Linked DNA regions of Rhinolophus ferrumequinum. The main gene of each other region encodes a partner of the protein of the gene in region 3 in a complex. Links are inferred from orthologs where the notes say so. Each region holds a gene or a part of one and is shown on either strand. Other genes may lie near its edges.

What was found.
Region 1: EPC1 (region 3) and MBTD1 share a complex: the UniProt entries of both Homo sapiens proteins name them as parts of the nuA4 histone acetyltransferase complex. The link is inferred for Rhinolophus ferrumequinum from reciprocal best matches to the Homo sapiens genes EPC1 and MBTD1.
Region 2: EPC1 (region 3) and VPS72 share a complex: the UniProt entries of both Homo sapiens proteins name them as parts of the nuA4-related complex. The link is inferred for Rhinolophus ferrumequinum from reciprocal best matches to the Homo sapiens genes EPC1 and VPS72.

Annotation. Positions count from the first base shown.
Region 1 is NC_046304.1:32,514,286-32,521,907, forward strand, and holds the start of MBTD1 (MBT domain-containing protein 1), read left to right. Parts: upstream 1-4,610; 5' UTR 4,611-4,874; intron 4,875-4,925; exon of another isoform or gene 4,926-5,159; intron 5,160-5,788; 5' UTR 5,789-5,851; intron 5,852-7,622. UniProt on the Homo sapiens protein: Chromatin reader component of the NuA4 histone acetyltransferase complex, a multiprotein complex involved in transcriptional activation of select genes principally by acetylation of nucleosomal histones H4 and H2A.
Region 2 is NC_046305.1:51,233,067-51,240,965, reverse strand, and holds the start of VPS72 (vacuolar protein sorting-associated protein 72 homolog), read left to right. Parts: upstream 1-4,824; 5' UTR 4,825-4,924; coding exon 4,925-5,041; intron 5,042-7,899. Other genes in the region: PIP5K1A (phosphatidylinositol 4-phosphate 5-kinase type-1 alpha), read right to left, coding at 985-1,066. UniProt on the Homo sapiens protein: Deposition-and-exchange histone chaperone specific for H2AZ1, specifically chaperones H2AZ1 and deposits it into nucleosomes.
Region 3 is NC_046288.1:3,683,482-3,690,696, forward strand, and holds the start of EPC1 (enhancer of polycomb homolog 1), read right to left. Parts: upstream 3,095-7,215; 5' UTR 2,808-3,094; coding exon 2,655-2,807; intron 1-2,654. UniProt on the Homo sapiens protein: Component of the NuA4 histone acetyltransferase (HAT) complex, a multiprotein complex involved in transcriptional activation of select genes principally by acetylation of nucleosomal histones H4 and H2A.

The DNA.
Region 1 (7,622 bases), on a different chromosome or scaffold from region 3:
ACTAAAAGAACATAGAAATTGTGAAAAAGAGATGGTTTACCATATACAAATGAAACAAGTAAGCAATATCATCACTGATTATATTTGGGTGGTGGGATTACAAATTTTTTCCAGATATTTTTGGACTTGTATTTCCTCTTCCCCCAAAATACTAAAATTTAATCATTTGTCCCAATAGCAATGCTATTACAGCCAAAGACTGAGTGAATCAAAATAAACTGGTTATAAACACCTCCTGATTAAACTGTATAAAAAAGGATACTTACTCTTCTTTAAGTCTTTTTTGAAGCTCATCTTTTGACAGTTTATTTTCACTGGTGTTTTTCATCATATCTTTCCGAAAACGATTGCTTATCATGTCAACCCTATAAAAAACAGAAGAGCGTACTTTAAATGACTTTTAAAGAACCAACATAAATAGTTGTTGCCTTTAGTAGTTAGAGAAAATATTTAATTGAACAATATATATATCAAGATTTATAAGACCTGAACCATCTCAGACACACATTCTCCATTTTTCCCAAAACAGCAAGGAGTCTCCAATATTTCAGATCATCCAGTTTACTCTTTGAAGAACTAATATTTCCAATTCATAATGACTTATCTAGACGTGGCTTATGCCATTCACCTAAATAAATTCTAGGTAAAACAAAGAATTAAATATATTAAAAAAAACCCAAACCTTAAAATACTATGAAGGAAGAATATAGGCAAACATTTCTCTCTCTCTGATGGACTTTTTACTGTTAAAAACAACAACAAAAAAAGGAGAAAAAATTCACAGATTTGACTATCTAAAAATTTAACTACTCTGACAACATTAACAACAAAATTAAAAGGCAAACAAAGCTGGGAGAAAATCTACAATAAATTTGACATATCAAGGTCTGAAATTCTCAGTATATAAGGAGTTGATATAGGAAGATCATTAAGAAACAGTCTCATCCTGCCATTTGTGACATGAATGAACCTGGAGGACATAATGCTAGGTGAAATATGACAGGTACAAAGGAAAAATACTGAATGATCTCACTTGTATGTGTAACCTAAAAAAAGTAAAACACATAGAAGCATAAAGTAGAATGGTGGTTACCACTGGTGGAGAAGTGGGGGAAATGGGGAGACGTTGGTCAAAAGTTACAAAGTTGCAGTTATGTAGGATGAATAAGCCTAGAGAGCTAATATACAGCCTGACTACAGTTAATAATACCGTATTGTATACTACAAATTTACTAAGAGAATAGGTTTCAGGTGCTCTCAACACAAAAAAGGTAACTATATGAGGAGACAAATATGTTAATTAGCTATGGAAATTATAGTTAATTCATACATGAACTATAACACATCCATTTAAAAATGTTTATACAGGTTTTTTTAAAGTGAGGAGAAAGGTGTGCGATATACTCATTCTTATCCAAGTACATATTGTGTGTTATTAGCTAACTTTTTTTAGCCTTTTCTCGGTTTCAGGTTCTATGCTAAGAGCTCTACATACACTATTTCGTTTAATCTCAAAAGCCTTCTGACACAATTACTATCATCATTCCCATTTTATAAACTTGTCCATGGTCAGTTAGGAACTGGTCAAATCAGGAGGCAAACGCAAGTCTAGACTGCGAAGAAGAGGAGAGGGCCAACATGTTGATAGTGGTTCTACCTCGGTGGCTGGATTAAGAATGACCTTTCCTATACTTTCCCATTATTTTTCAAATCTTCACATAATCACATATTCATAAAGAGAACTTTTTACAAAATGTGCAATATAATTTTGAAAGTATTCAGAGGGATTCTGGAAGAAAAGTTAGGCAACTTACATTTCCTCATCTTCATCTTCTTCATCCACCCAAACTGGCTTCTTTTGAGGTGGGAAATTATCTTTCGCTTCATTCTCCACTTCAGAGTCACCTGAGTCTTCCAGTGCTTGAACCTTGAGAAGACAAAACGATCTCAAGCACTGAATTTTTCACATCCAATGGTGGCAGACACACACATCTTGAAGTCAAATGGCTTGTAGAATGGTTTGCTTTTACAACCCTCTGATGAAATAGGACAGAATGCTATCACAGGAAATGCTGAAGACAGAATAGAAAATAAGATTAGAGAATGGCACCACAGGCTGAGCAGGTGAGGTAAGATGGAACAGTCAAGGAGTGAAAGTCTACATGCTCACAGGAAAACACCAAGTAAGACAAGAACAACAAAAGGAAGATGACCGATAAAGAAAGGGGGGGGGGGGGCGGGAGACCAGGAACTCCAGAAATTAAGGGACCAGAGGCAAACTAGCATCAAAAATAAAATAACATGGCCAGCCCGGTGGCTCAGGCGGTTAGAGCTCCATGCTCCTAACTCCGATGGCTGCCAGTTCGATTCCCACATGGGCAGTGGACTCTCAACCACAAAGCTGCCAGTTCAATTTCTCGAGTCACGCAAGGGATGGTGGGCTCTGCCCCCTGCAACTAAGATTGAACACGGCACCTTGAGCTGAGCTGCCGCTGAGCTCCCAGATGGCTCAGTTGGTTGGAAAGCGTCCTCTCAACCACAAGGTTGCCGGTTCGATTCCCCCAAGGGATGGTGGGCTGCGCCCCCTGCAACTAACAACGGCAACTGGACCTGGAGCAGAGCTGCGCCCTCCACAACTAAGATTGAAAGGACAACTTGAAGCTGAACAGCACCCTCCACAACTAAGATTGAAAGGACGACTTGACTTGGGAAAAAAGTCCTGGAAGTACACACTGTTCCCCAATAAATTTCTGTTCCCCTTCCCCAACAAAATCTTTAAAAATAAAATAACATAATTGAATATCATAGTTAACTCATATTTCATATTCTTAGACATACCTCTTCTCCATTTTTCTTAATCGTTCTTGATCCCCTACCTTTTCAAACTTTATACTGTACTATCAAGTCTAAATGTAGACCACAGAGTACTCCCTAAAGTGAGCTTGAGCTTTCCCAAAACCACGATAGAAATGTCCAAATGATTTCTACTTGCTGTTACCAGCCTATTATCCTTCAAAACCCAACAAATCCCACTTCATGTGGACTGTTTCTTTTCCTGACTAGGAAACTGTCACACAGTTCAGCACTTTTCCAGTAGTAGTTCTCTGATTCCCTACTAAGTTTCTGCAGCTTCATCCGTAAGCACCCAAAGGAGGTTCTGGCAATCAATCAGTTGATACTTGCTAGGTCCACGTTCATTTGCCAGACTGCATAATTCTCAGTGAGGCTTTATTTGACCATCCTAAGTAAAATGTCACAGACCTTCTCTCTACACACACTTATCTCCTTTTTCTCAAGTGCTTTAATGTTTTTCTTTTCAGGACTAGTCATTGACATACTTGAGTTTTACAGAAGTACTTATCTCCTTTATTTTCTGCCTCTGCCACTAGTACTCCAGGAGGCAGGGATTTTTGTCAATTTTTATCCACTGCTGTTTCTCCTCCAATGCCTAGAACAATGCCTGGGACTATCTTCGGAAAAATTCCAGATATATAATAAAAAGGATGAGAGAAAGTGCAAAAATTATAACAACTCAGGGTTTTTACAACCAGGAAAAGTATCTAGTACCCGATAGGCTCACAAATACTTGAAAAAACGAATACGTGGTCATTCTCAAAGATTGGCGAGTCAATCACTTGGGGAGATGTTAAAAGGCAGATTCCCAGGCCCGTGCCCACGAATTCAGATTCCACAAACGAAGTGGAACTCCTGAATCACCGCAAGGTACCGAGGCAGGCGATCGTCCGAACACAAGGAAAAAAACACTGAGTTTGAGGATAGTGGGGCTGAATCACCAAAGATGCGCATGACCCAGTTCGCTAAACAAATACGTGTTGAGCGCCTGCTGGATACTAGGCGCAGAGGCTCCCACGGGGGCGGAGAAAGGCGCGGTCTCCGCCCTCCCGAGACTTTCCGTTTGAGCCCCGTCGGCGCCCGCGTTCTCGGGCTCCCTCCCACCTGAGAGCTCCCCGGCGTCGCAGGTCGCCTAGACTCCGTCCCCGGAGGCTTGCCGCCCAGCGCGCGCCCCACCCGAGCGCGCCCAGCCCGCTCGCCGCGGACTCCCTCACCCGTGGGCCTCGCAAACGCTGCAGCAGCGCGTCCTCATTGTCCTCGACGTCGCCGAAGACCAGCTCCTCCAGGCACCGCTCCACTACTGGCTTGTCCTCCTCCAGCGTCAGGCGGTTCCGCTGCCGGAGCCGTTTCTCCTCCTCCACGGCGATTGCGATCGCAGCGGCCGCTGCTCTCGGCCGAGTCAGCGGTTTCCGCTGGGATGAAGGAGCAGCCTTTCGGGGCGGCCCGTCCGGCCCCGCTCCGGCTCTCCGATCCCGCTTCATTCGAGTCTTCTGGTTCAACCTCGTTCCGGTTCTCCGGTCCGGTCTCGTTCGGGTGCCCCGTTCAGGCGGCATCGTTAGCTTTGAGAAGAAACGCAGGTACTCACGTGGAGCCTCACTGCGCGTGCGCCGAAGCGCCTGTCTAGCCACTGTAGCTGAGGCCCCGGCGGGAGGGAAGGAGCCTGCGCAGCCTGCTAGCACGTGACCAACACTCTTTTTCCCTACGTAACGCCCACTCCCCTCACGAGCCCCTCCCCGTATGGGAGTTCCTCCGGGAGGACCAATCTTCCGGGTGGAAGGGGAGGCGGCGTGACTGGAGTGGAAAATTTTTTCCAACACAACTTAGCAGCTTCAACTGATTGAAAGGAGCACAAGAAAGCCAGAGTATAAACTAAGATGACTGAATGAAACTTCTCTTTCTCCTGACTTTTTGACCACTCGACTTAACACGAGCCTCAATTGCCTTTTCCACCCCTCCGTCTTGGTACGGCCCTTGGAGTACGGAGCCTGCAGAGGGTCCCACGCTGGAAGAGAGAGAGGAGGGTATGTAGGGAAGTGGGCCAATCGGGGCGCGGGTCACGGCGCAGGCGCGCTGGGGAGGGAGGGCTATGCTAATGTTGTTGATATCCTGGGGCCACCCGAGTTAAAGGGGGGAAATCCGGGGGCTGCCGCAGCCGCCACCGGTCTGGGCCCAGCCAGGGCACCCCTGTAGTCGCCGTAGTCCCGGGGAGAGGCGCCTGACCCCAGCCCGGGGAGAGGGCGCCGCCGGCCCGGGGAGCACGGACAACCCCTACCCATGAGGCCCTGATGGAAAACACAAAGGATCTGGTGAGAGCCTAGCGCGGCAGCCGCTTTGTGTACCAGGTGGGGGGGACGCTTGCAGCTCCCCGACCCTAGGAAGTCCTGCAGCTCCTTGACCCGGCTCCCAGGCCTGTTTCTCCATCCCACGCCCCCTCAACCTCCGGAGCTCCCCTCCCCCTACCGGCCGTTAAACGATCCAGGGGGTTCCCCTCCCCCCACCCCCTCAGCCCCGCTCTCCTCGGGGTTCTCTCTACACTTTTCTCTATCTGGAACAAAAATTTTAAAAGAAAGTTTTCCTCTGCGTCCCGCCCCCTCCCCCTTCAGCTCTGGCTGTAGAAGAAGTCTGGGTTTGAGACTTTCCCTTTTTCAGCCGCCCAGGGTGGGAGAGTGGAGTCCTCACTTCCCCCAGGGAGGCCTAGTTGTAGTACTTTGTGGAGGAAGGCGCCGGGCCGCTTTAGGGCGAGTGCCGCGAGGCCTTTCGCACGTGGAGGTGGAAATATTGAAAGGGGGCGGGGTGGGCACATGTGGGAGGGAGAGGTGGGAGTGGTGTTTGCGAAGCAGCCGCCTGGGCCGCTGTAGTTTACAAGGGTTCTAGGTCCGTGGGCTTCTATGACGAGTGTGTTCTCTTTTGTGAAATAAGAATCCTAACATTTCAGAGTCGGAAGAGACATTAGAGGTCATCACAGCAGCCGTCCCCTCTGCAGCTTCTCTGACAACTGGTAGGTAGCCTGGCCTTTGCTTAAACTCCTGCAAACACGAGCGATCGCTGCTAGCCAGGAAAGCCTGCTCTGTTTTTCAGTTGTCCTGATTGTTTGCCTCCCCTTAACAGACCCTGCAGTCTCTTCATGTCCTGGTTACGCTGCTCCCTTTTTTACTTCTCAAATTTTCTCTCACATCCTCCTCACTCACCCACCCACCGCTCACTGGCCTATATTTTGTGTGCCAGGAAAGAACGTCAGGGAAGTGGAGGGAGGAGGGTTTGCGAGCTAGTGAGGTCCTTGCTGAAGACTTTGCGGGGTCAAGTTTCAAAAGTGGTGGCTTATGTGTCTAAGAAGGATTGATATTTTACTACTGAAAGCTTGGAAAGTATGGTTTGGGGATTTCGTGCCTGTGCTCTCTCGCTAGTGCATCTCTTTGAAATTTCAGCAGCATCTCTGTAGTTCTGTCTCAGAGCACCTTTGCTCGTTGCCTAAAGCGCTTTCCCTAAGGATGCGCCTAAAACTGCTTCTTGGGGGTAGTACTGACGCTATTAGAGGGATGATCGGAAGAAACCCCCCTTCCTCCTTTTGACCTGCGTTTTCCTTCAAAGCTGGTCTTCCTTTTCAGGGCCTCTCTTTCACAGTGCTTTCATTTCTTTCTAGTTTTTTCCAAGTCTTTTATGAGCTTTGAAACTTTTGCAACACTTTAATATTTGCTTAGTTTGCGATATTTTTTGTGCTTTTTACATTAATATGTGCCAGTATTTATCGGTTGGTAGTTGAGAGAGTTCAGTTTCTACTATTGTCTGTCACTTAGTGTTTTTCTATTGTTCTCCTTCATTTGGTGAGCTTTACTGCCTCCAAAAGTATGATAGTTTTGTTGGCATGAGAATCTTGGGGGCACATGTTTTCCTCTTCCTACTATGGTGAAGTGGGAGTCCAGACATAACAGGGAAAATGTAGAAGTAATGAATCCGATCTAAAAGCCAGGGAATAAATTTCACTTTAAACTCCCAGTCCCGTTTAAAATGTTAGAGCACAGACATTTTTTCTCTCTCCCCCTTTTATGACTTAGAGACTGTTGTTCTGCTCCAGTGTGCTTAAACTATATTTTTTTTCATTTGTTTACCTCAACACTAGAGAGTGTTTAGAAAGAAAACAGCTTTTTTTGCACTGCCTCCTCTGAATAACAAATAGTTTCTATTTATATAGAACCCATACTCAAGGCTTCTGGATGCCTTGCAAATTATGGCAAAAACTGTCTTGAATAAGTATCTGTTCATAAGTATCTTATTTGGGCCATGTTTTTTAACCATTTAATTTATAATTTTATACAAACTTTGACATACAGTATTTCCTATAAATCTAGTCACTAGAATTTAACATGGCAATGGATTCTAGATACTGAAAAGAAATAATATAGATGTAAAAGTCTGTCTTTAAAGTTGTAAGTAAAGTTTTAATATGGAGCTCCAAGTTACTTCCTGCTTGCTTTAAACATGAACTGTCATGACTTAAGTTGACTGACTTTGGAGTCGTTTGCATTCTAAACATACTAGACAGGAACAACTGGTTTTATTTTTAAAGAACACGGTGCTGTATTTTTTATGGCTGGCTATATGTTGACCTAATTAGTGTCTAAACCTTCCTAGATGCTTCTAGTCCTTCAATTACATTGGAAGTTAGCAATTTAAATGGTTTTAAAACATAACATAGTAGTCAAAAGAAGGTAAAACTATAGCTTAGAAGTGAAAACAACATATTAATATCATAAATACTGAACCACTAAATT
Region 2 (7,899 bases), on a different chromosome or scaffold from region 3:
CCTCAATCTTCCATAGCTTCTAACTACTTTGCGCGGTCGTCCCTGGCTCCATTCTCCAAGGGCCCATTTCCTCACAGAGCCTAAGCATTCTTGCAGTCCATTTCCTATTATATAATCCAGTATTTCCCCACAGCACTCAGAGCCCCCCCCAACTCCGTCCTCCTCACACCTGCTTCACAACACCACCTCTCTCAGCCTCTACTGCATCATTCCACCTTCTCCGTCTGTTAGTAGGCTCCTTTAACCCTCATTTTCCACGTCCCTCAGGCTCCCTTCAAAACTTCTCATTCCTTCCCAAACTCGGTGAGTGGAGAGAGAGGAGTCGTCAAGGCTGGATGTTTGGTAAAACGTGTCTGTGCGAGCACACGCCGGGGTATGTGGGAGGATGGGGGCACCAAGCGCAAAGGAATGACGCATTAGGGGGAGCCTCCGAGGAAAAGGACGTCTCCAGCAACTCCCACCCTCAACAAAATTCCCAATTCCCTCAACTCCCCAGCAATCGAAAGCGTGTCATCACTCTTCCATATCTGTTAAGTCCCGTGGCTTTTCTTCCATATTTTTATCCCATTCACCCCACACACAATCAGCTGGCCTCTCACACTGATTCCTCCCCGCTTAGGAGGCCTCCGTTGACTTTTCTCAACTCCCTTCGGTTTCCCTGCTGTTTCCTCCCTAACCCTCGCCGTCCATCTCCAGCCCTTCCTGACCCTATTCCTTCGAGTCCTCAACTCGGCCTCCTCGAAGACAGCCAGCGTTGTCGACGGCCTCCGTTTGCCCAGTCCAATCCATCCTTTCCTCGGACTCCCCGGCCCGCTCAGAAAGCCCTGCTATTTGAAAGCCCAGCCACGGGAAAAGCCCAGCCATCTGTCCTCCTAACCGGCACCTCCTCGGACATCCCCAGCTACAGGTGCCCTCCCACACCTCGCTCTTTGCTCCCACCGCACAGCCGTCATCCGCCCCCTGCCCACGCCCCGCCCTGATTACCTGAGGACGAGGTGCAGCCAGGAACCCCGGAATCCACCGACGAAAACCCGCCCGACGACGGCCCAGAGGAGGCCGACGCCATCTTGGCAGCCCCCTCCCCCTCACGGCCTCGCTCCCCTTCAATCCGGTTCTTCCTCTTCTCGGAGTCGAATCTTCCCCACGTCTCTTCACAGAACCCGCGTTCTGCGGGCCCCCTCCCGCCCCCTCCCGGGCCTCTCTCAGACACGTCGGGCCGGCTCCTGGACCAGCTCAGGGACACACCATTCCGCGGGCATGGGGGACGACCCGCGTCTCGCACCCTCTCGGCAACTTGAACCGCTTTCCGCCAGAGCTACTTTACCCTTTCACAAGAGAGTAGGCTCAAGCCGGCGGCCGGGACCACACGTCCCGACCAAATCACACGTAAAGGAATAAGGGGGCGTGAGAAGTCCCCGCGGAGCGAGCGCCCCTTCCCCCTCCTCCCTAGTCACACAGCCTGTTTATCGCCCAACTCCACCGCTCCGGGCGGCCAGTGAAATCCAGGCACTGCGCATGCGCCCAGCCTTCCCAGCGTTCCAGCCCACTCAGTGGGGGGGGAGGGAGGACCCGAGAGGGTCACAGCCAATCCGGAGGCCGCGACTAGTTACGTGACGCAGGTCCCTCGGGCCCTAACGAATCCAAGGATTGAAGACGTGCGCGCCCCGGGGCGCAGACTGCCCCGACGGTGGCTCGGTGGGTCCATTTCCATTCGGCTCTTTGAAAGGACTGGGTTGCGTCGCCTGAGATAGGGATGAGAGTCGGCTTGGCGGGCCCTGTCAATTTCACAGCCCAGGGAAGAACTCCCGATAGAAGCGCCAGGGGCAAGTCGGAGAGGTTAAGCAGTCGACTATCGCAAAATATCACATGCCACCAAGCATTCTTTCAGCTTTACTGCTTTGTTTACTATTTAGTTTAACGTGCGTGCATGTCGTGTCCTGCCTTCCTCTGAATGACTTTCGAAACAGATCTTACACTTCGTTGGCCTCAAACGCAATGCTGGGCACAGTGACAGAGTTCAGTAAATATGATAAATGATGACCTGTCAAAAAGGAAAGTGATCAAACCATATCACAATCTTCCCGTGCTCTGAGCCCTTGGCCTCTAACTCTCGTTTATCTGTGCTCCAAAAGGGATGGAAGATACACAGAGCATATCCCCATTTTAGTCTTCGTACCTACTCAGTTTTAACAAAGTGCCCTGGAGGATGTGAACTCGGTTGGAGATTGAAGACCTGACTGTGTCTCTCTGAAGAGATTAAACTGCTGGAGAGCAACCAGTTTGATTTACCCTTGTATCTTCAGCTCCTCTCTTGATGTGGCTCTGTACATATAGTAGGGGCTCTTTCATTATTGTGGAATGAATAAATGAAGGAAAATGGAAAAAAAATCCTAGGTTTGGTAGACCCTAAGATGGCCTGGTTTATCCTCTATCCGGATATATTCTGGGTCTTCAAAAGGGAACCTAGGACCTGACCAGGCAGAGACTATCCCCAGGCATTGACCTTTCTACCTTCTACCCCTCCAGCGTCAAGATGTAAAATAATTGTTTCCCTGCTGCCACCTGCTGGATTATTCATTCTCCTTTGGGTACTGAGATGATTGGATTGCCATTTGTAATTCCAAAGCAGAGGAATTGTGTAGTGTTGAAGTATTTTATGATTGCCTACATCTATACCCCCCACCCAATTAAACAGTACAAAAAATAGACAGGTGTGGGCACACCATCTAGCATACGATTTGGCTAATAGGCATTCAATAAATATTTGTTGAATAAATTATCCTTGTTTCCATAAAAGGCATGGAGTTGCTATCATTTCTGGAGTTATTTTAGAAATCAGCCGGTGTAGAGATAAAGCTGTTTCTGATTTTTAAATTGGAAATAGTCAAATAATTGACTTACCAGGAGGTCAAATGGGGTTTTCTCCCTGGGATTGGATCTATGAAATTTATTTCAGCCTTCCGGAAAAAAGAGATCCATCCTTATTTTGCAGCTTCTTAGGGGTCTTTGTTTCTCCTTTCTATACCAGAAAATGGCTACTGTTACTTCTACCACCTTGTATTATGTCAGTCTGTTAACTTGTTGGTTTCCCTCATAACACTGTGAACATTTCAGGGCAAAGACTACATCTTATCTATTTTTATATCTCAAGGATCTAGAGTAGTGCCTGGCACAGAGTAGGTGCCCAACACATGTCTCTTGACTATATGAATGAATGAAGGCAACATTTAAAGTTGGGCTAGGGGTGTCTCCCATCTTTTCTCCCCAAACCTTGTCTCTGCCCCCACTCCCACTCAATCCCCAGGATGCTCTGAGTCATGGAGCCACTCTGCCCAGTAACATTCCGGGCATAGCAGGTCTTCAATGATGTGGCAGGGTGTGGAAGGAGGGGCAGAGCAGGACATGTTGGCTTGCTGCCTCCAAGGAAACGGAAAAGGGAGTTCACCAATATATACTTTGGAAAAGGGGGACAATTTCGTGATCTCAAAATATGGCTACGAATACAGATTTGAAGGAAATAGAGCACACACACACACTCACACACCAGCTTTATTAAAGTGACCTTCATATCTTTGAACAGTTCCTAAGGTCAGAATGGATGGGCTAGGGGCTGCCAAGATCAACACAGAGGCAAAATAAGAGGATGGTTACCTAATTTATTCAAACAGCCCTTCATTAATTCATTCGTTAAAATTATTTAGTCCCACTATGAGAGTTTCCTGGCATACACAGATGAAGATAAAGTCCCTACCCTCAAAAAGATCATAGACTAATGAGAGAGACAGAAACATAAATCATTAGAATAAAATGTAATAGGTGCCGTCTTGGAGTGTGTGCATGTGCTATGGTTTGACAACCATACTTTCAGAATAAAAAAATGGGAAGAGAAGTTGATACAGAGGCTTAGACAATACCACAGACTCTTTGAGATTGGAACTATTCTAGAGAATCAAGGAGGTATGATCTCCATGATTATGAGAACTGTTCTAGGAAAAGGAATGAGTGTGCAAGAAGACTTCACTGGTCTGTACAATTAGAATTTTGCCAGATAGACAGGAAAAGAAAGGGATTCTAAGAAGAAGGAAAAGCAGGAGACATGGCAGAGAATTGGGTGTTAGGGAAGTGAAGCTAGAATAGGATGATGTGTCAGGAGATGAGGCTAGAAAGGCAGGAAGATGCTATTAACAAATTATGAAGGCTCTTAAATGCCATATTTGCCATAGTTATCACCTACTAAACACCTATGAGCTCACTAAATACAGTGCCAAGCAGTTTAAAAGGATTATATCTCTTAATCTTCTTAACAACATTCCAAAGTAGGTGTTATTATTACTAGTCCTACTTTACAGATGAAAAAACTGACATTCAGAGGGATAAAGCAACTTGTCCAAAGTCACACAGCTAGAAGACCTAAGTTCAAACTCATACTCAGGTCCGGCTGATTCTAAGGCTCTACCTTTAACCACACTACTATTCCGCCTTAAGGACTTTATCCTGTATATAACGTCCATTAAAGACGTTTGAGCAGAAGAGTGACAAAATCTCGGTTTTTAGAAAGGTTCCTACTAGCAGAGTGGAAAACGGACTGGAGCAGAATGAGACTGACCTCTTCTAAATGAAAATTTGTTGACTCCCAAATTTGGACTTAGAGTAGTGGGGCTCTTGGTGTCACCGAGTCGAATCATTCCATAGGCAAGGTCTGCGCGCAGGTCAGGGAGCTTGGGGGCGGTGTATGAGCAGGAGTGGGCGGGGCTGGCCTAGGGGGCGGGACTAGGAGCCCCTCGACGCTCTGCTGCTTCTGCCTGCAGACGACCGATTTCCGCCGCCGCCGCCTGCCCCCCGCAGGTAGTGGTGTCGAGCGCCGAGCCCCGAGAACCGCGCTGGGTGAGGGGCCGCTGGTGGCGGCGCAGTCTCGGTAGGCGTTATGAGTTTGGCTGGGGGCCGGGCCCCTCGGAAGACCGCGGGGAACCGGCTTTCTGGGCTCCTGGAGGCAGAGGAGGAAGATGAGTTCTACCAGACGACTTATGGGGGTTTCACGGAGGCAAGAGCTGGGCCCAGGAAGAGGGAGGGAAGAAAGCTAAGAGGAGTCTTGAAGGGAGAAACCTCGGACAAAGAAGGGGGCGGGGAATAGACCGGAGCCTTGTCAGTTGATACTCGAGACGGAGTGGGCGAGTCGGGGGGATGCATAGGAGTCCTAGACGGGGCAGGAAGAGAGGAGCTCTCTGGGGCACCCCGGAGTATGGCAGAAACCCACTGTGTTCCTATTCCTCTAGTGGCATCTCTCAGCGCGCTTCTGCTGTCTGGCACGCGACAGGCACTTCGTAGACATGCGGTATATCCTCGTCGGCCCACTGCTGATTTTGCATCTGAAGTATAGAAAGAAGCTTCCCCCCAAAGTAGGCTTAGCCTATTCCTTTTCCAGCTTTCAAACCTCAGTGTAAACGTCTCCTAAGATAATCCTTCCTTGACTGCCCTAAAAAGTGTCCTCATTTATTTCCTTCATGGAACGTATTTCTCTTTGTAATTAGGTTTGCTTAGCTTGTTTATACTTTCCTATTAGTTTGTAAGTGCTGTGAGGTTAGAGATAGTCTGTTTTGTTCAACAGTATGCAACCCAGTGCCTGGCCCAGTGTCCGGATTGGCTTGGCACTCGTGAGATCTGTATTGATTGAACCTATCCGTCCTTTAAATATGTGCTGAGTACCTACAGCTGTGGTAAACCCTCTGGGAACTATTAAAAACACGGTTTTGTCCTTCTGTATTCCAGACCCCAGTGGGCGACCTCGCTGGGTTAACAGTCAGTTAAAATAGTGTGTGATAAGGGAAGCATAAGGTGCCATGGTAACACATGTGAGCCAGAGTTGTTGGTCGAGATGGGTATCTCTGCGGGACATGATGTTTAAGCTGAGGACAGTGTGACAAGTAGGCCGTGGCTGGAGGAAGAGCAGTAGGCCTGGGAGCCCGGAGGAGAAAGGTTAGTCCAGGGAGTTACATGTTTGTGGCACTGGCCTGGAACCTACACATCTACTCTGATTCTCCAGACCATGAAGGAGAATAAAATTGGCAAGAATGGAGGGTGAGGCATAGGCCAAATTGTGTAGGGCCTTGTGACTGTTAAGGAATTTTGCTCTTCATCAGAGGACTGAGAAGATGATCAGATTGGTACTTTAGAAGCTTGCTCTGTGATGAGGAGAATGGTTTGAAAGAGGCAGTGTGAGCAGAGACCCATGGACAGGAGGGTTCAAGAGAAATCAAGGCAACAGAATCCACAGGACTTGGTGACTGATGGAGAGTCATTACGTACATAGCCCTAACCAGCTAGTTTAAAATAGAACTTTCTCATCCCTCTTCCAAAAGCCATTTTCCTATTCCTGTCATTTTACGAGTCGTTATTTAATATGTACCCATCATGCTTCCAAAAAGGATTTAAGGAGGCTTACGATATAAACAAAAAGTAGGAACAGCAAAAATAGAGACACATCAGAAGTAATTGTACCAGGAGCCTTTGCTGAAATGGTCCTAGCAATTGATATTAAATTTAGCTGTGAGTTTCCTGGCAGTCAAACCCTGAATTTCTTTTTTAGTAAGAAAGAAGCATATAAGTTCTTTAAGAGACACAGATTTATTCAGCATTCAATCCTAGGGAGAATCGCATCCTTATATAAGACGTATAGAGTAACGGGTTTGGTAGGTGATGTAAAAACATTGTCTTACCTAGTCATGTCTATTAATGACCCTCGATGAAAGCCAAAGGAACGGTAGTAAATCCGTAACCGAGTGAAAGCATTTCCATTAGGCCCTAAGCTAATGTGTAGTTGACCTCCTAGACTGTGGTGAGATGACTTAATACCAGGTTAGAGCTGAGGGGATTAGCGTGTTCCCAGGCTGTTCCCCAGACATCACTTGGGAGGAAATGATGGTCATCCGTGCAAGATAGAACTCCGGCTGGCTTGGAGTGTCAGCTGTCTCTTATTTGCTTGGTTTGGCAGCGTGTGTGCAAAGATTAGCCCATTAGCCTGCATCACTGTTTGAAGAGAGAGCCACGTGTTTGAGGTGCCGCCCCACCCAGTCGACTTGCCTGCCCCCACTGTTTTCTTGTGCTTTCCTTTCCAACGTGGCTGCCATCTAGCCCTAATCTGCATCACCGCAAGTCTAGGCTGTACTCCATGTTCTCTACTCCAGCCCATTTAATCACCTCCAGAGCTTTCTACAACACGCCGCACCCACAGTTTCCCTCTGCCCTCAAATCTTCAGTGGTTCCCCACTATACATCGTAGTAGTACCCAACTGTTGTTTTTTTGTCCCAACACACCTGAGGAATGAGACCTGTATCTCAGTGATGAGACATATTTGTCAGTGACTTTAGTTTGCTTCAACAGTGATTATCAACGCTGGGACAAGTAAGGAGAGGGAGAGGATTGAGAAGCACCGGCCTGCAAGTTAAAATCATGTTTCTTAGCCTGACATTTAAGTTTCTCTATAGATTGAGTGCAACCTTCCTTTCAAATCTTACAGACCTATAGGACAATCTATTAATGTTGAGAGGAGGCTGTGTTGAAGCCAAAGGCAGTCAGCTAGGGAGACTCCTTGCCAGAGATAAAGCTGCTTTACTTGGGTCTAAATGCTTATTCCGTGAACGTGCCATCCACAGTCCTGCTTTGTTGCCGCTATTCCATCTGCCCACGGTTCCCTCTTCCCTCTTGCCTGTCTAAATACTACCAGTATTTTACAACATGGCCCAAGCTCTCTTCATTCTTGACACTCTAATGCAGGGTTCAGCAAACGACACACCACTGGACAGATCTGGCTCATTACCTGTTCTGATATGGCCCTTTACAGAAAAAGTTTGCCAATCCCCGGTCTAAAGGAATAAAGTCTGATATTTAAACCTTCCCAGGCT
Region 3 (7,215 bases):
CCTTTTCCAGAATTTCTCTCAAGTTTACCATAGAAACAAACTATGGTAAAAATTACCAGGTATAGTTCACCTCACAGTTTTGCAGATACATTTTGATCATTTCATGAAATACTTTCTTAATGAAGTGGTGTATACAAAACTGTTCTTATCCAAAAACTGTCCCATCTTTCATGATCAACATAGGATTATGCTTTTTCTAAACGAGACACTCAATTAAGGTTATAGGTCACTCAACCTAAGAGACACCCCAACTAATGTGTCAAAGGCAAAAGTTTGTTTAAACTTTTTGTCTTTATAAGTAAATCATGCTTCAACAAATTATTAAAAAAAAATTTGTTTCTCTAAGGTTTAGTCAGAATTCAATTACGTTTATTTATGCTTAGTACACATTTTCTTAATTGTGTAACATGCTACTTTCAATATTGTGATTTATATAGCCACTACCACCAGCATGAGCCACAGGAATATAGAACAGCTGTTTACCTGGTACTGTTTATATTCTTCTATTAAGTTCAGTATCTATTCCTGAGGTCTATGCTTCACTGATCATAGTTTTGGTTGGATGTGAAGTGAAACAGAGGATAGAAAAAGGTAGTGAAGGGAAAAAAAAAAATCTCTTATGGCCCGCAAACAGACTCCACGTGTGTTACAAACTAATGAGATCCACTGCGCTATAAAATGTCAAAGTATTTCAGTGAAGAAAAAATTATCTGTAATATTTAACAAGCGTATTGCTACCTGAGTTGATCTCAGCTTTGATTTCAGGTTGTAGCTCTTGGTCCTCTCCAAGACTTAACTAAAGCAAGACTTAAATAAATTTCTAAAGTGTACTGTAGTGCTATCTTGCTTTTACCAGGGTTCTCCCCTTCCTTGGCTGCAAAACAAGAACTACAAATTAATTTCCAGGGCAGTGTAACACCAATACCCCAAATTTCAAGTATTATCTGTAAAACTTAAAAATAGAAACAAAAATAAAACCAAAAGACAACATTCTGCAGTCACAAGTACTTTAATTTTTAAAAACAAATCACTCATTTAAAAATGAACAAATGGCACCATTCTACTCTGTTGATACAAGTAAATTTAGAGTTCTGTCTCATAATGTGCTGCAAGTCGGTACTACATCCGACAATCTCAACTACTACATACACTTAACACTTAGCTTATCTGTAGTTAGATTTCAGACACTACTCTCAAAAGTAACATTCGACTGTCACAACTATTTTACTTTAAAAGGTTGAACAACCCAAACAGTTTAAACAGCTTTATTTTCAAAATCAACATTACAGAGCATAATTTCCACATTTAAAATTCTTACAGTTACCAATAGAGGTATTACAGTACAATTTTCCACAACAAAATTGTAGCACACAAATCCAGCGACTCCTCGACTTCCTTGAACTGTCAATACACTGCACCCTGTTTAAATGGCTGTACCTGAAAACCAAGGAATGCAATTCCTTAGGATTAGAAGTCATCAAGTTATACTGTCAAGGATCTGGGGGAAATGAGAGGAAGATTCTATTATCCTTGTGTCTAAACCCAACTTCTATAACAAGGTAAAGCCACAGCTATGATCAAATGTCTATTAGCTGTAAATATTTAAATACTGAAACCCACCTAAATTAGGTATCTCGATGTTAAGATTTCTGTGAATGAATTCACTTCAGTTCGATTCTGGATGAGAAAAGTCCCTCTTTCAAAATTTAGATCTGTAACATCTACTTAAATTGGGTGTTTTCTCTCCCCACGTTGAGAAACCAGAAAGCATGCGAACTTAAATTTTATTTTTAAAAAAACCCAATAATAATGAAGTTACATGTTTTAGAAGAGCCACGCACTCCAAAAAAAACAGAAGAAAAACCTGCAACATACTCTCAAGGATCAAAGGAAAACTCAGGGACGTTTATATATCCTCCGACTAACTAGACTTGGGAAGGGATGGATGCAAAAGTCCCAGAACGAGGATACAGAAAATGAGTCTTACATGTTATGAAAGTCAGTCGTCTGGGCAAACAAGCAGTACCCTCGACATTTCGTTGCAGGGAAGGAGATACAAGCCTCAAAGACCTACAGTCAACATTACATGCCCCTGTGAAGCTCCACGTGGGGGCCGCACTGAGCCTCACAAGCTTTCCCCGCCACCGGGAACTGAAGTACCCCTACAGGACACAGAATCTGCGCTCCCCGGCGCCGGCAGCGCGCGAAGGCCGAGGTGGCCCTAGAGCGCCACCCAGCGGCCCGCGGAGCGGCCTGCAGGCGGGTCCTCCCCGGCTCCCGGATCGCCGCACCCCCACCGCCACCCAGCCCGTTCCTCTCCGGATGCACAAGGCCCAACCCAACAACTGAGACCACAAAATGGCTGCCGGCAGCTTCGTCACGTGACCCCTTTGTGCCTTTTGGGTTCCCGAACTCCGTGGGACCCGGGTACAAGTGGCCGGGGTCGGCGGGTGGCCTCAGTGGAGACCCCGCCGGGCCGTGGCGGCTGGGGGTCGAGGCCGGGGGAGGCGGGGTAAAGGCCCGGCCGGCGACTGAGAGTCGGCGGCGGAGAGAAGATGGCGGCCATTTTGTGTGGGTTTGCTGCTCCGCCGCCGCCGCAGGCAGCAGAGGGAGCGGGGCCTGGCGGTGGGTCGGACAGGGGAGTTAACACGTACCGACTCCTCTTCCTTCTCCATTCCGGTGGGCATCTGCGGCACGGCCCGGTTTATCGAGGCGTATTCGTGCAGGTCGGGCAGATCCTCACAGCGGAAAACCGGCAGCGGCTTCGAGGCGTCTAGCGCCCGCGCCCGAAACGACAGTTTACTCATCTCAGGCGCAGCAGATACCTCTCCGCTCTGGGGAAACGGCCCCGGCCAGCGGGATCATGGAGAACCGGGGGTTCGGTCCCCACTCGCCTACCGCTGCCGGGGACTTGAGGGGCGGAGCGCAGAGCCCGCCGTCCGGGCACTAACAGCAGCCGGGAGGGTGGGAGGCTGTGCCGCTCCGCTCCTCTCTCGCTCGCTCTCTTCAATACGCCATGGCCAACATGGCGGACATTAAAACTCCACTGTGCGCTCTTCAGCCAACCCCAGCCATTCCCCACACTGCATCGCGCAGCGGCGCGGGCACGCGGGCGCGGAGGGGGGGGGGGGAGCGCGGGCTCGAGCGGGCGCCGGCACGGAGCGCGCGTCCCGCCAACCCCCGGCGCCCGCCGGCCGCGCTGTCCGCGCCTGGCTGCTCGAGGCCCCCGCCCTCTGCGGGTCTGGAGGCGGCCGGGGCGGAGTGGGCGCTCGGACGCCGGGAGCCGACTCCCCGCGCCTCCTCTCGCTGCCCGCACTCGCTCACTTTCTCACGCTCGCTCGCTCGCTCCCAGCGCCGTTTGCTGACAGGCGAAGGTGCAGGGAAACTATGTGCACCGCACGCCGGCTTTCCGAATGGCCACGGCGGGAGAATTGGCTGGGCGGCGCTATTGCCCGGGACAGGCGAGCTCCGGCACCTGTCACCCCCGCTCGCAGCCGGGATCGGGGCAGGGGCGATGCCGGAGGCCACGGCCGTGGGCGGTGGGGTTAGGAGCGGCGCTCCGGGGGCGCTGCGCACCGATGGCAGTCTGTGGGTGATACATAGTTATCGCTGCGTTTTAGGTCCTTAAAACAAAATGCAAACGAAATTAGGGGCAAAATGCTACTTCAGGTGAACTTTCGCCAGCAATTATTTTTACGTCTAAGGAAAATGGATTATAATATTTGAGAGGCTCCGCAACAAATCACTGGTCAGTTCCCACCTATCGGGCTCAATATAAACGGTTGTTACCCTACTCTGATATAAAGTAGGGGTTTTTTTTTAATCCTGCATTTTATCTACTCATATTCACTCTTTTATTACAATTGAAGCAAAGGGGATATTTATTATCAGATAAATGTTTAAGAAAAAAATTAAAGTAAGACCTTCAAAATTTTAGAGCCATTTGTAGCTCATGATTTTTGTTGGTACTGAAAGAAAATGCTAGTTCAACATAGTTAATGAATTGACACCATTTATTCTCTGAAAAACTTTATAAAATTGAATCATACAAAGATCTGTAGTGCTCCTGCCAAACCGAAAAAGAGTAAAGGAAAAGCTGTATTAGAGAGCTTTAGATGCATGTGCTAGATTGTTAATATTTGGTTTATATTACACACGAAAACGGTTATGCCCAGAGAGCTCTTTCCAGCAGAGTATTTTAAAAATCAGAAAGACTGTTTTAATGGGATGGGTTTAATCAGTTTGGCAGCAAAATTTCATATGTTCACTGAGATACAAAAATGTTTCTTTAAGTCTGCTCTTCTCCCTGGAGGCTACATAGTAAAAATAATCATTACTCAAATACTGGGTTGGATAGGAACTGTTACTAGCTTACAGCCCATAGGCACACTGCTGTCTTTCAGGCTGATTTAGCTACACCTTGGTGGGGAAGACACAAGGTGAGCAGAGACTGGAGTTCTCCAAAATTATCCTAAAACTCTAATATTGACAATTCACCTCTGTGAGGCAGAGGGATTTCCATTTATACTTCCTATACTAAGACTGTGCACTTAATCTTTCAATGAAAAACATTTATTGGGCCCTCATGGCCTAAGTATGCTGCTGGTTACTTAGCACCCATAAGGCTCCTGGAGGAGCTAGCACAGTGGGAGAAGGACCTGTGGATGGCAACTGCCACAACTGATGTGAGGCAATCGTGGGAACAGGCAGGAGTGGCACCCAATCCATGGGGAGTGGCTCTAATGAAAGCATTCAGGGAAGGCTTTTTGGAGGAGATGATATCTGAGAAAAAAATACATCGGATAAGTACGGGTTAACCTTGCAGAAAAATGAAGAGATGAAAGGTATTTTAGGCAAGGGAAGGAGCATGTGCAAAGACTCCAAGTCATGAGAGACAATGTCACAGTCTGGGATCCTCAAGAATTGTCAACTGCACTGTGGAATAAGACACCTATCAAGCCAGGTTTAACAGTTCTGAAAATTCTGGCTGAATGTTAGTACAGCAGTCCTCTTCAGCCGACTGTGTTAGATTTCTGAAAATCCTACTAGTTGAATTTGGTTGCTTGAGGAACCTAAGACTTTATAGAACAAAGTAGTCTTAAGTCATGAGTGAACCACCAAGGAAACGAACATAGAATATTTAACCTTCATTAAAATAACAGCCTACAGATAACATGTTCCACACCCTGCATTAGTAATAATGGGCACTATACAACTAAGTTTCTTGTTCCCTAGAAATTGTAGCATCACCCTCCACAGCAAGTTGAGATATATGCTTACAAATTAAGCTTGCCCTTTTTGCAGATAACATGCCTGCTAGGAGGCATCTTCTTTCTGCACTGGTTCCTCATCCAGCCTCAATGCTCTGGATTTCTGACTTCCAGGTCCTACTGGGTTCCCAAGGACCCAAAGGCTGGAGTCCCAAACCTCTTATATTCAGTTTACTTCCCTACCTTCTAAGGGGCAGGAGTGCAGCAATAAAGGTTCAGGTTTAATTTTCTTGAGCTTCCTTTATCTAACCAAAAGTTTCCTTGCACAAATGGCTAATCCTGCACAGTCTTTCACGTTAACTCCTTTTATTCCCCTAAAGTTCCCTCTTTTTCTAAGTATCTCCAACAATGGTGACATAAAATTCTCAATGGTACAAAAGATGCATACTAGCGTAAAACTGAATACACTAACCTTTCCTCAAAGGGAAAGTTTTTGTTGGGAAGGAATTTGCAGTATTTAAAATACTTTTGATTCATGCCATAAATATTTACTGAATACCTAGGCAACACACAGTACCATCATTGTAGGGGATATAAATAAAAATACTGATAAAGGTTAATCAAATGACCAGAACAAGGCAGCATGGTGAAATGCAGTCAGGGAGTTCAGAAGGAAAGCAGTCAGTTCTAGCTGGATTGATCAGACATGGAGAAGTGAGCAGGTGATGTGGTTGTGAAGAATGACTAAGATCCCAACTGGTAATGGGAATGAAATGGTAGGAGAAAGGGTAGTCATGGTCCAGAGCAACAGTGTGAACAAAATGGTGGGAGGAGGAAACTGGCAGGTGTGCTTGAAGATGAGAAAGTTTACTTGGCCAGAGTTCATAGGAAACTCCAATAACAATCCGGGTAAAACTGGTAAGAACTTGGGTGGAGGGAGTAGGAGTAGAAAGTAAAGAGACAGAAGTTTTAATGGTAAAAATGAAACTACTTATAGTATCATTACCCTGAAATGTGATTCATTTCAATTTGTATCAAATACAGAACTTCTGCTTAAACAACAAAATAGAATGTGTCAAATGCACTGCAGTTTGCTGCATATAATAAACCTGACGTATGGCTCTACATGTTAGTTTATGTCCAATATGTGCCCAAGTCCTTTTATTTCTTCTTAAAATTGTTTCTGGGATTTGACTCATTATTTCCATTCCCATTGTCTTAATCATATCTCAGTTCTCATCACGTCCTACCTACAAACAACCTCCAATCCATTTTTTAATTCATTACTTTGATAAACCTTTATTAAGCTCCTACTTTACAAGAAACTATGCTAGTACTCTCCTAATAGTGGCTAAAGGGAACCCACAGTGGCTAGTACAAGCTGTGGGTCCCTGGGACTATGAAGAACACAGTTCAAACTGCCTTCAGGGCTTCATAATGCATGCCACCAAATCCAAGTGCCCAAAACCCCACCTCCATCTGTATCCTCCCTTCCCCATGTCATTTATTTATAACTGCTCTTTATTTTGCTATTCCACAAAGCCTTTGCTTTTTTTTTTTTTTTTGGTATAGTTGTCAAAGCCTCATAATTTTGCCTCGCTGTATATCCAACAACATTTCTCATCACCACCTAAGACAAGCTCCTCATCTTTAGAAATCAGCATGTCTTTCCTGCCTCCAGGTTTTTATTCATTCCTTTCTCTCCATTCTTCCTGTCTGGCTGCAGACCATCTACTTCTACTGAAATGCTACCTTACATTTTTGAGGATTAAATAAAACAACCCATGTAAAGCATTTAGAATGGTCTCTGGCCCACAGAAAACATTCAGTAGATATCAACTATTGTTATTATCCCTCAAAATCCAACTCAACTATCACCTCCTTCATGCAACTTTCTTTGACTACTCAACCTCTCTGAGTCCTAATTTCCTAATCTGAAGAATGAGTGAGTGGGTAGGTGAATTCAAAATAATTCTTAAGCCTATACCAATGTTTTTCATCTGTG